2 linked regions of the Oryzias latipes genome follow. The protein of the gene in region 1 interacts with the protein of each later gene in a pairwise test. Links are inferred from orthologs where the notes say so. Each region holds a gene or a part of one and is shown in the gene's direction. Other genes may lie near its edges.

Region 1 (4,400 bases):
TGAGCATTCACGTTACTGAGTGACGATGAAACACAACATGCCGGATCAGATTACCCCATGCACTGTGGAACCAAAGCACCTTGGGAAGAAATCACCTGCTGAAACAAGACACAAATGGAAGAAATGTGAGGAGGTTCTGTTGGAATGCTACTACTAAAGTATTCCTGCTCAGAATGATTAGATTAAAAGAATGTGGAGTCAATTAATTCTTCAAAAATCACAATTCAGGCTTACTGCAAAGCAACAAGTAGCTCAACGTTTCAATGTTCACAAATGATAAATGCTAATGTAGCAAGATATTTAAGAGAACAAAAATATAAACCCAACGCTTATGTTTTTGCTCCCATTTAAGTTCATGACATGAACTTAAAGATCTAGATTGATCTGATTGAGGTTTTTTCTGGTAATAGATCTTATAAACAGTTGTTGGCTCCAGTCTGCGCTGGGATGTTCTGGTAACAGACCTGTGACCTCACAACCTTTTCATGGATGAAGCTCTAATGGAAAAAAGACTCATGGATTGTTTTGCAATCTCCATGTTCCCATTAGTAGTTCACTGATTTCTTGCCGATAGTTTCAATTGACATAGTTTGGAAAAGAATATCCACTTGTAAAAATGAGTGATACTGAATGTCTCCTAAGAATACCAATGGTTTGGTACCTGGGGTCGATGCAGACATTCTGGACGTTTTTCTTTTTTCACCTGTGTTATTTGTCCATAATATACGCCTGCCCATACCTTAACCCCACCGCCACCATGGGCCACAATTTACAACCTGACCAACTCTATGTGAAGGAGATGTGCATGCGGAAAACAATGCCTAAAACAATCCAGCACATAACTGCAGAGTGTAAGATATTGACAGGGAAAGCAAACATGAAGCGCCACAACCAAGTGTCTGCATGATGCAAATGGTGGTCACACCAGATACTAGCGGTGCCAGTTAGGTTGATATTTCAGAAAATTGTGCATTTTGTGGTACAGCACCAAATTTGGCATGGATATACCCTAGGATGCCCTATTTTAGAAAAGCACATTAGTCATGAGAATAATCCAAAAAGGCAACCAGTTGTAAAAACGCAGCCGTGCTGTCAATTGTTACTGGGTAGCTCGGTTGGTAAGGTGGGAAGCTACCACGCAGGAAACCAGGGTTCGATTCCCGGAGGGGAATGAGCAATGGTACTGGGGGCAATTACCATATCAATGTCGAGCAGTTAACATCACCCAGTGAGGGTCCTTAGGCAAGACCCTTAACGCTACTGCCTCCCGAGCGCGGTTTCGGCTGCAGCTCACCGCTCCCCAAGGGGATGGGTCAAATGCGGAGAAAGAATTTCCCTTCGTGGGATAAAATACAGTGTATAAAAAAAAAAAAAAAAAAAAAAAAAAAAAAAAAAAATATGTCCATTTGTCCCAGTCTCAACAATATGGACTGTTCATGCACAAAATGCAATCTTAAACTTGAGGGGTACCTATAGAACACTATCATATGTACAGTATATTATATGTGATATATATATTTTTACATATTTTCTCATGGCTAAAGTACTTTTCAGATCCTAAGGTACATCTATGCCACATTTGGTGTGTTTACAACAAAATGCACAATTTTCTTAATAACCAGCTCCCCTATACTGACTGGTTTTCTGAGTCTCCAGACCCCTGCAATAAAACAAAATGGCATGTCTCAAAGTGGTCTTCTAATTTGGCTAGTCTAAGGGAACTTCTTGAATCCAGCATATAACTGCAGGTTGTAAGATATTGACAGGGAAAGCAATCATGGAGCGCCACAACCAAGTCTCTGGAATAATATATACAGAAACATGTATGCAGAATATGAACTGGAAACCCCAAGTTCAAAATGGGAACACCTCCTAAAGTGGTAGAGAATGAGAGAGCAAAGATCCTGTGGGACTTCCAGATCCAGACTGACAGGATGGGAATGGCGAACCAACCAGATATTGTAGTGGTGGATAAAGAACAGAGGAAAGCCGTTGTGGTGGATGTGGCAGTTCCAAGTGATTAATAAAAAACATCCACAAGAAGGAACATGAGAGGAGAGAAATGCCAGAGGCTCAGGAAAGAACTGGAGAAAGCCTGGAAGGTGAAGGGGATAGTGGTGCCCGTGGTAATCAGAGCACTCGGGGAAGTAACCCCTAAATTACAAAAGTGGCTACAGGAGATTCCCCTCTTTGGTCTTTTGTAACACAGCAATTAAATGACCACCCTTCTTCCCTCTATTCTGCCTTCTGAGTGGGACATTATGAATCATTTTGCTTTTGCTCTCCCGTCACACACAACTGCAGCAAAAGGACTGGAGTTTGCCAGGTACCAGTCAGCAGGCACTAAACCCAGAAATAACTGGCACAAGTGTTTGAGTGAGTGTGTGTGTGTGTATGTGCCATGGATGAGTAAAGCCACTTGATCTCTTTGCATGCAACCATTCCGGGTTGTGGGAGACGCATGAGGAACAGGAGTGATTATGGGAAGTGATGTGCTCACATACATTAGTATGTAACCCGTGAACAGCATGTGTCGGCGCAGAGTGGAGTGTTGTTCTTCTGAATGAGCAGATCATGACATGTCTTCAGTGTAGCGTTTGTGCCAGAATGCCTATGATGGAAGCCTTCAGAGCTCCTAGAGGGTAAGAAAATGACAAACTTACTATCAGTTCGGATTTTTCAGCAAATAGAACTTCAGTAAAAAGCAAGAGAAAATGTTTTTTTTTTACTTTTTTTGTTATTGTTGCTGTTTTAACACCTTTTCTTGTTCTGAGACCAATGGAGTCAATCTACAATGTGCCTCCTGATTCAGCTCTAAAAAGATCTAACTACAGCTGAAGTCTTTGGGCTTTTTATGTCAAAATTGTGTGAAGGTGGGAGAAGAAAAACAGAAGTTATGGTTTTCTAACAGGTCATAATTTGATAGCATTCAATTACATAAATTATAGTAGAGATCTTAATGGTTTTAATTAGGGAGGAGAAGAACAGATCAGAGAAAAACTGAAATGTTTGTTTGTGTTTGCTTGTGTGTGTCTTTTCTCTGCCTTCATAGACCTTTTCATTTTGCTTTACTCTGAAGAATTGTGAAAGCATGGCGATCCTGTTTGGTGGTCTTGAGAAGGTTTTGCTCCTATCACAGTCCATTAGAGGGTCCTCACAAGTGATGGTTGTGATGGGCTGGCTGGAAAAACCTTTGAGGACTTTCTAACAGGTTACAATGGTAGCCTAAGTGACATGTCAGGATAGGCATGGAAGCTTTTGAGGTAGACCTCAGGCCAGTGGGGGAACATGTGAAGCTCAACTTTATCGTCATATACCTTTAAAAAAGGAAAATATACCTAACAACGTTCATAGAGACATAAAGATTGTACTTGCCTCCCCTCGGTCCTCTTCATTTGTGATAAAAGCTGCAGAAGGTGGTGTCTTCTGCAAACCTCAGGAGTTGGACAAACTGGTGTCCAGATGTAGATGTTCAGGAGGAAAGAAAGCAGCTGCAGCTTGGAAGTCATAGATCTCCGTTCTTGTCCTCAACATTGTGGTTTGGTTCCACCTGCAGCCTGAGTTTGTCTGACACAAGCGGCAGTGGCTGAGGAGATTGTGCAGGTCGGCCAATGCTCGAATGGTCGGCGGTTAGATCTCCTCTCCCCCCAGTCAACTGTCGTCGTGTCCTTGGGCAAGAAACTTCACCCTCCTTGCCTCCAGTGTGGCTCCACTGGTTTGTGAATGCGTATGAATGCCCAGGTGAGGGTCAGAGGGGCCGTAGGCGCTCGTGGAACAGGGACTGGCAGCCACGCCCCAGTCTGTCTGCCCCAGGGCAGCTGTGGTTACATCAGTAGCTTACCATCACCAAGTATGAATGAGGAGTGAATGAATAATGGACACATTGTAAAAGCTTTGAGTGTCTGGAAAAGCACAGATAAATCCAATCCATTATTATTATAATTATTATAAGAGCTTAGTCAGGGTCCAGACTGAAGCCCATAAACAGGAGTTACAGATGATTACTGCACAATCAGCTCAAGCTAATCAATAAAAGCCATCCCACACCACTTTCATGATCTTCTATGAAGCCTTTCATTTGAGTCTTGAGAGAATCTGTCGCTGTTTGGTCGTATTTGCCAGGAGACCGAACCAATGGACCTTTCTGTCTGCAGTTCTAGGGAGCACGTGACCCCGGAAATGAACAAGCTTCGGCAGAGTCTGAGGAGGAAGAAGCCTACCTACATGCCAGAGGCCAGCAGACCGCATCAGTGGCAGGCAGACGAGGAGGCTGTGCGAAAGGGCAAATGCAACTTTGCTGTTCGGGTGAGTGCAGTGCAGATTTGACCCTGGTCCAGGCCTGCACAGAAACAAAGAACAGGAAATGTTCTTCTCGAACATGCTTCATCTTTGTGTCTGAG
Region 2 (4,555 bases), on another chromosome or scaffold:
ACGAAGAATGTAGTTTTTATATTTTCAAATTTACCAGAATAAATGAGAGCATGTTTCAGGTACACAAACTTCTGCTGCCAAAGAAAAAATATCTAACAGCAGCAGGAGCAGCTAGCGAGTTGCACAAACGCGATGCTTCATGACCGCAAAAACAATTCCGCAATCTCAGCGTTATTCAAAACTAACTGCTAAGAACCCAATGGGAGAAAAAAATACACTGTGATGTCTGAAAATGTTGTCATTAATTTACCTGCAAAGGTGTTGACAGTAGAGCGTTTGTTTGACCTCAGACCGGCACACGACTCACTTCTTGCTAGCTGTCCGTACAAAACTAGATCCGTCCGTGTAAATCGAATGACAACTTTAGTTCCGCAGGAAGAAAAGAACAATAATAAACGGAGGACTCGTGTGATTTTACGTATGTATATTTCTATATCTACTTACTACTGAATATAAAATACCCCAGCAATTAAAGTTAATAAAAGAACAAGATAACAATTGACCCCCCCCCCATATCTTAAATATCAAAATGTCAGGTTAAGGGGTTCGATAAATGTTATCGCACATCCAATCGCACATCCAAGAATTTCAAATAGCTAAATTGTTGCTATTGTTGTTGTTAAATAAGACAAACAGGCAGACTCAAAAGCTCAAACTTCGCATAGTTGCAGGACTTCTTACAAATAAAAAAAAATTATTACAAAGAATTTAGAAGTTTTAGAGCTCTTTGACATGTAATTTCAATTATTTAGAAAAGCCCAACAATAAGTCAATAGTAAGTCAATAATAATAATAATAATAATAATAATAATAATAATAATAATAATAATAATAATAATAATAATAATAATAATTCAATGATAATAATAAATTATAACAATATAAAATAACAATAAGTCAATGATAATAAATAATAATAATAAATCAATAATAAGTCAACAATAAGTCCAAAGGTTAACAACAGATTTACCCTAAAAGACAGAGAGAGAGAGAGAGATGAAGAGTGATTTAGAGAATTAGAGATAGAGTGATCAATTTGGTGTTACACAGATGGTATGGGGCCGGGTTTCAAGCGAACAGTCTGGCCAGTCTTATCAAAATGTGTTTCCACAAAATGTTTTGAACATAGCCAGACTATTGCTAGTCGACGGCAAATTATACGTACATCATGCAGCATGTTGATAATAGCCCTGCAGCCTCATGCATGTCAACATGTGTACTATTAAAAAAAAAACATGTGTACTATTAATGAAGCCCCTGCAGCTTTAAAAGAAAAAAATATGGTACTTACCTGTCAAATGTTATGCCTTTCTCCTTCGTGGACTCATTTCTCCGATTTTGGCAGTTGAAACCCGCAACAATGAACTGGCATTTTGCAAAAAAATGTGTTCAAATGCATGCAGTGCAGCAGTGACTTCACCTCACCAAGATGGCGGTGCTCTCCTCCCATGAGGAACCACGTGATGTCTCCTCTAGCGATATAACTCATTGCTCCTACCATTCCTGTCACTGTTTACGGTCACACACTCCTAGTGGAAAGTAGGTCATGGGAAAACAAACCGACGCTTCCCGCTTAACTAGTTGTCTGTTGTAATTATTCGGAAGTCCGCGGAGTCGGTACAGCTTTGTTTTTGGGTCAAATGAACGTGATGCTGGAGAACTAAAGCAAAAAAGGTAACACGACCCCCGTATTTTGTGAACACACACACACACACAGCTAGCTAAGCTTCTTTTTCAAAAACGTTCACATTTGCATCACCAACACAACAATACTTCCATTATAAGTCGCAAAAAGCGTTAATTTGTTTTAAATATTAAATAATGCAAATTAACCCTCTTTGCCGCCGTGATGTTAACAAATATCAATTGTATGCATGCGTGGCTCACTGTATTTGGGGTTAGCTGCTCCTGTTAGCTTGCCTATGTAGCCAACTAAAGCTAGCTAGCAAAACATAACCGCGCATCGATGAGATGTTTTGTTTTGCTGCAACCACGATTTATCTGTTATATTTTAACCAAGAAAATAATTTAGTTGCATTATTATATATATTTTAAAACCTGGGTAGCTATGTGCTACTAATTCTGCAAAAACATACGTATTTTTTAATTGGTTGCTGGTTCCTAAACTATAAAAGAATCCTAACTTGAAACTAGGCTAAACATTTCCAAGTATTTTCCCAACATTTGTCAGTAAAGACAGTGGCGAGCAAAATGTGACTCAAATAAATTTGTGCTAATACGTGTTTTAGTTGATCTCACTGTACTTTGTTTGCTGGTTTTGACATTAAAGTAGCGAATGCAGGGGAAAGTGTGCCAAAAAGAAAAAGCGGATATTGTGAAATCTATATATATTTAAGCAGACACATTGAGTTCAAGCTAAAACTAGGACAACACGGAAAAAAACCCTGCAAGAGTTGGCCCAATTTTGTCCTAAACGTTTTACAATATAGAATATAACTTAAGGGTGCCTGATTAGTTTATTAAATCAGTAAGATTCCACTTAATCCAAATCTACTTAAGGAAGCAGGACTGCTTCTCTGGTGAACTGGAAGTAAACTGCTCTACGTCTTCATGTTATTCTTTAAAATGAACAAATATGCTGCAAATTGAATAACTAAAATCCGAGGCTTAAAGACCCACTCCATGAAAATTATGTTCTTGGTGTTTTTGACATATTCTTGTGGCATTTACCTGATGATGGAGAACATATACAAAGAAAAATTATCTCAAAATTGTATTTGGAAGTATTTTCTTCATTCAAATTGTATTGAATCAGGAGCAGACAAACAGTGCTTAGGAAGAAGCTTGTAGCAGTGACATAGATGCTACAGCGGCGGGCCACGAGCTGCCTGCTCTGCTCCATTCTGATCCATCCACTTGTAGACCAAACTGTACGGCTTCAATATTGCTCTCTGTTTTTGCGAAACCAGTAATGTCAGGTTGGGGGTGTTGGGGGCTGTAAGCTGGTGGGAGAACGTGTAAATAGATGGATAATTGGAGGAAGGACAGGCCTACCCCGCTTACAATTCAGAGGGGAACTACTAACAGTACAGGTGTCTTAATTTATGGCTTAAAACGGCTTAATCATAAATAAAAGACCACTTGGAACGCTTTTGCAAAGCACAAAAGATAATCGGAGTGGGAGTTTAAATTGTTCAGTGCTTTCAATTTTTTTAAAGTTGAGATAAAAAACAAAAACTAAAGTTGTTGCTATAAGTGCAATACTGTATTTGTCTTTCAGCGGCTGGGCTTATGCATGCCAGTCACTTGGACCACACTGTGACTGTACGGTAACTTCCCCGGCTTGTGAAACTGCTTTGCTGCCATGTCGAGGCGGAACAGGAACAGCCGTGCATGGCGATACGTTTGGGGTGGGATACGGCGGGACGCCGATGCCCGGGCTTTAGTCCTGGCCTCAGAAACCGAGGACTGGAATTATGAACGCTTTGAGGTAAACATACATTTATTTAACAATCAGCTTTGTTTCGATTTCACTAATGACTGAGAAGCATACTGTAGCAGCAGTAAAACAACATTTAGCATTTAGACTTTAACTGGGTGACATTAAATTATTAGCAAACCTAAGTGGTTGGTAAGTAAAGAGATCATTTTGGAAGTGGAGTGACATTTTGTCAACAGCACTGGAACAAATGTGCCACAGGCTTCTTGTCTCTTGTTTTTTGCTTCTCTTGGAACAGTGAACACTTGTTTATGTGACTGCTGCAGGCATTTAATAAAAGCTTCTGCTGTTTATTGCTTTAAGTTATTTTTTTTCCACTCAGGAAAAAAACAACAATAAACAATGGTGTGATTTATTTTCAGCACGACACTTTACTTGCCCCTAAGCTGTTTTTGTCTTGGCTAAAAAGGGTAAATGAGGGCATATCAGGTCTTAAATTGTTTTATTTTTTTATAAAACAGCCTTTTTTTAGTCATTTATCAATATTTTAATTAACAGCTACCACCAGTGGTATAACGGACAAAAGTTGAACTTGAAAACTCCATAAAGAGGTCTGCAGATCCCAAGTACATTTGTGCACACTTATGCCTTCAGCACTTTAATTTTTAATGGTAACACTACTAAAAGTATGCATAAATACTGTTTTCCATGTAACCGTTGTAATAGTAAAAAGTTGTCAAACTTTTTTTATATTTGGTTCAAAATTATGGAGGAATTAATCCTAGATGTTAAATTGGGAAAACTGCTGTTTTTAATTGATCCTGTGAAGGATTTACTTAACATATAAAATGATCCTGAATCATTAGGACACCAAATAGTATTTCATTTTTACACCTCGATGTATTGTGAACTCTCCATATGAAACATAAAAATGGTCTTTGGTTTGTGTCCCAGTACAGTGATTCCGATTCGGAGGCTGAGTTCTCACCTGTGATGCGTCTACCCGTTCCCAGTGCTGTGCCTGTCACAGGGGAGTCCTATTGTGGCTGTGATTCCCAGGCAGACAGCAGTTATAACCCTCGCCTCCGAGGGTTTCACCAAGTCAAGGACTGCCACTGCGGAGAAGACGACCAAGGTACAACGCTCGTGGTTTTT

The links.
Region 2: the proteins of numb-like protein (region 1) and SPRY domain-containing SOCS box protein 3 interact in binary tests that used the Homo sapiens proteins (3 or more experiments, as listed by UniProt). The two-hybrid records come from large-scale screens. The link is inferred for Oryzias latipes from reciprocal best matches to the Homo sapiens genes NUMBL and SPSB3.

The regions. Positions count from the first base shown.
Region 1 is NC_019871.2:18,103,988-18,108,387, forward strand, and holds the start of numb-like protein, read left to right. Parts: upstream 1-1,367; 5' UTR 1,368-2,574; coding exon 2,575-2,642; intron 2,643-4,154; coding exon 4,155-4,305; intron 4,306-4,400. UniProt on the Homo sapiens protein: Plays a role in the process of neurogenesis. Required throughout embryonic neurogenesis to maintain neural progenitor cells, also called radial glial cells (RGCs), by allowing their daughter cells to choose progenitor over neuronal cell fate.
Region 2 is NC_019866.2:14,628,424-14,632,978, forward strand, and holds the start of SPRY domain-containing SOCS box protein 3, read left to right. Parts: upstream 1-1,456; 5' UTR 1,457-1,673; exon of another isoform or gene 1,674-1,674; intron 1,675-3,238; 5' UTR 3,239-3,325; coding exon 3,326-3,451; intron 3,452-4,354; coding exon 4,355-4,535; intron 4,536-4,555.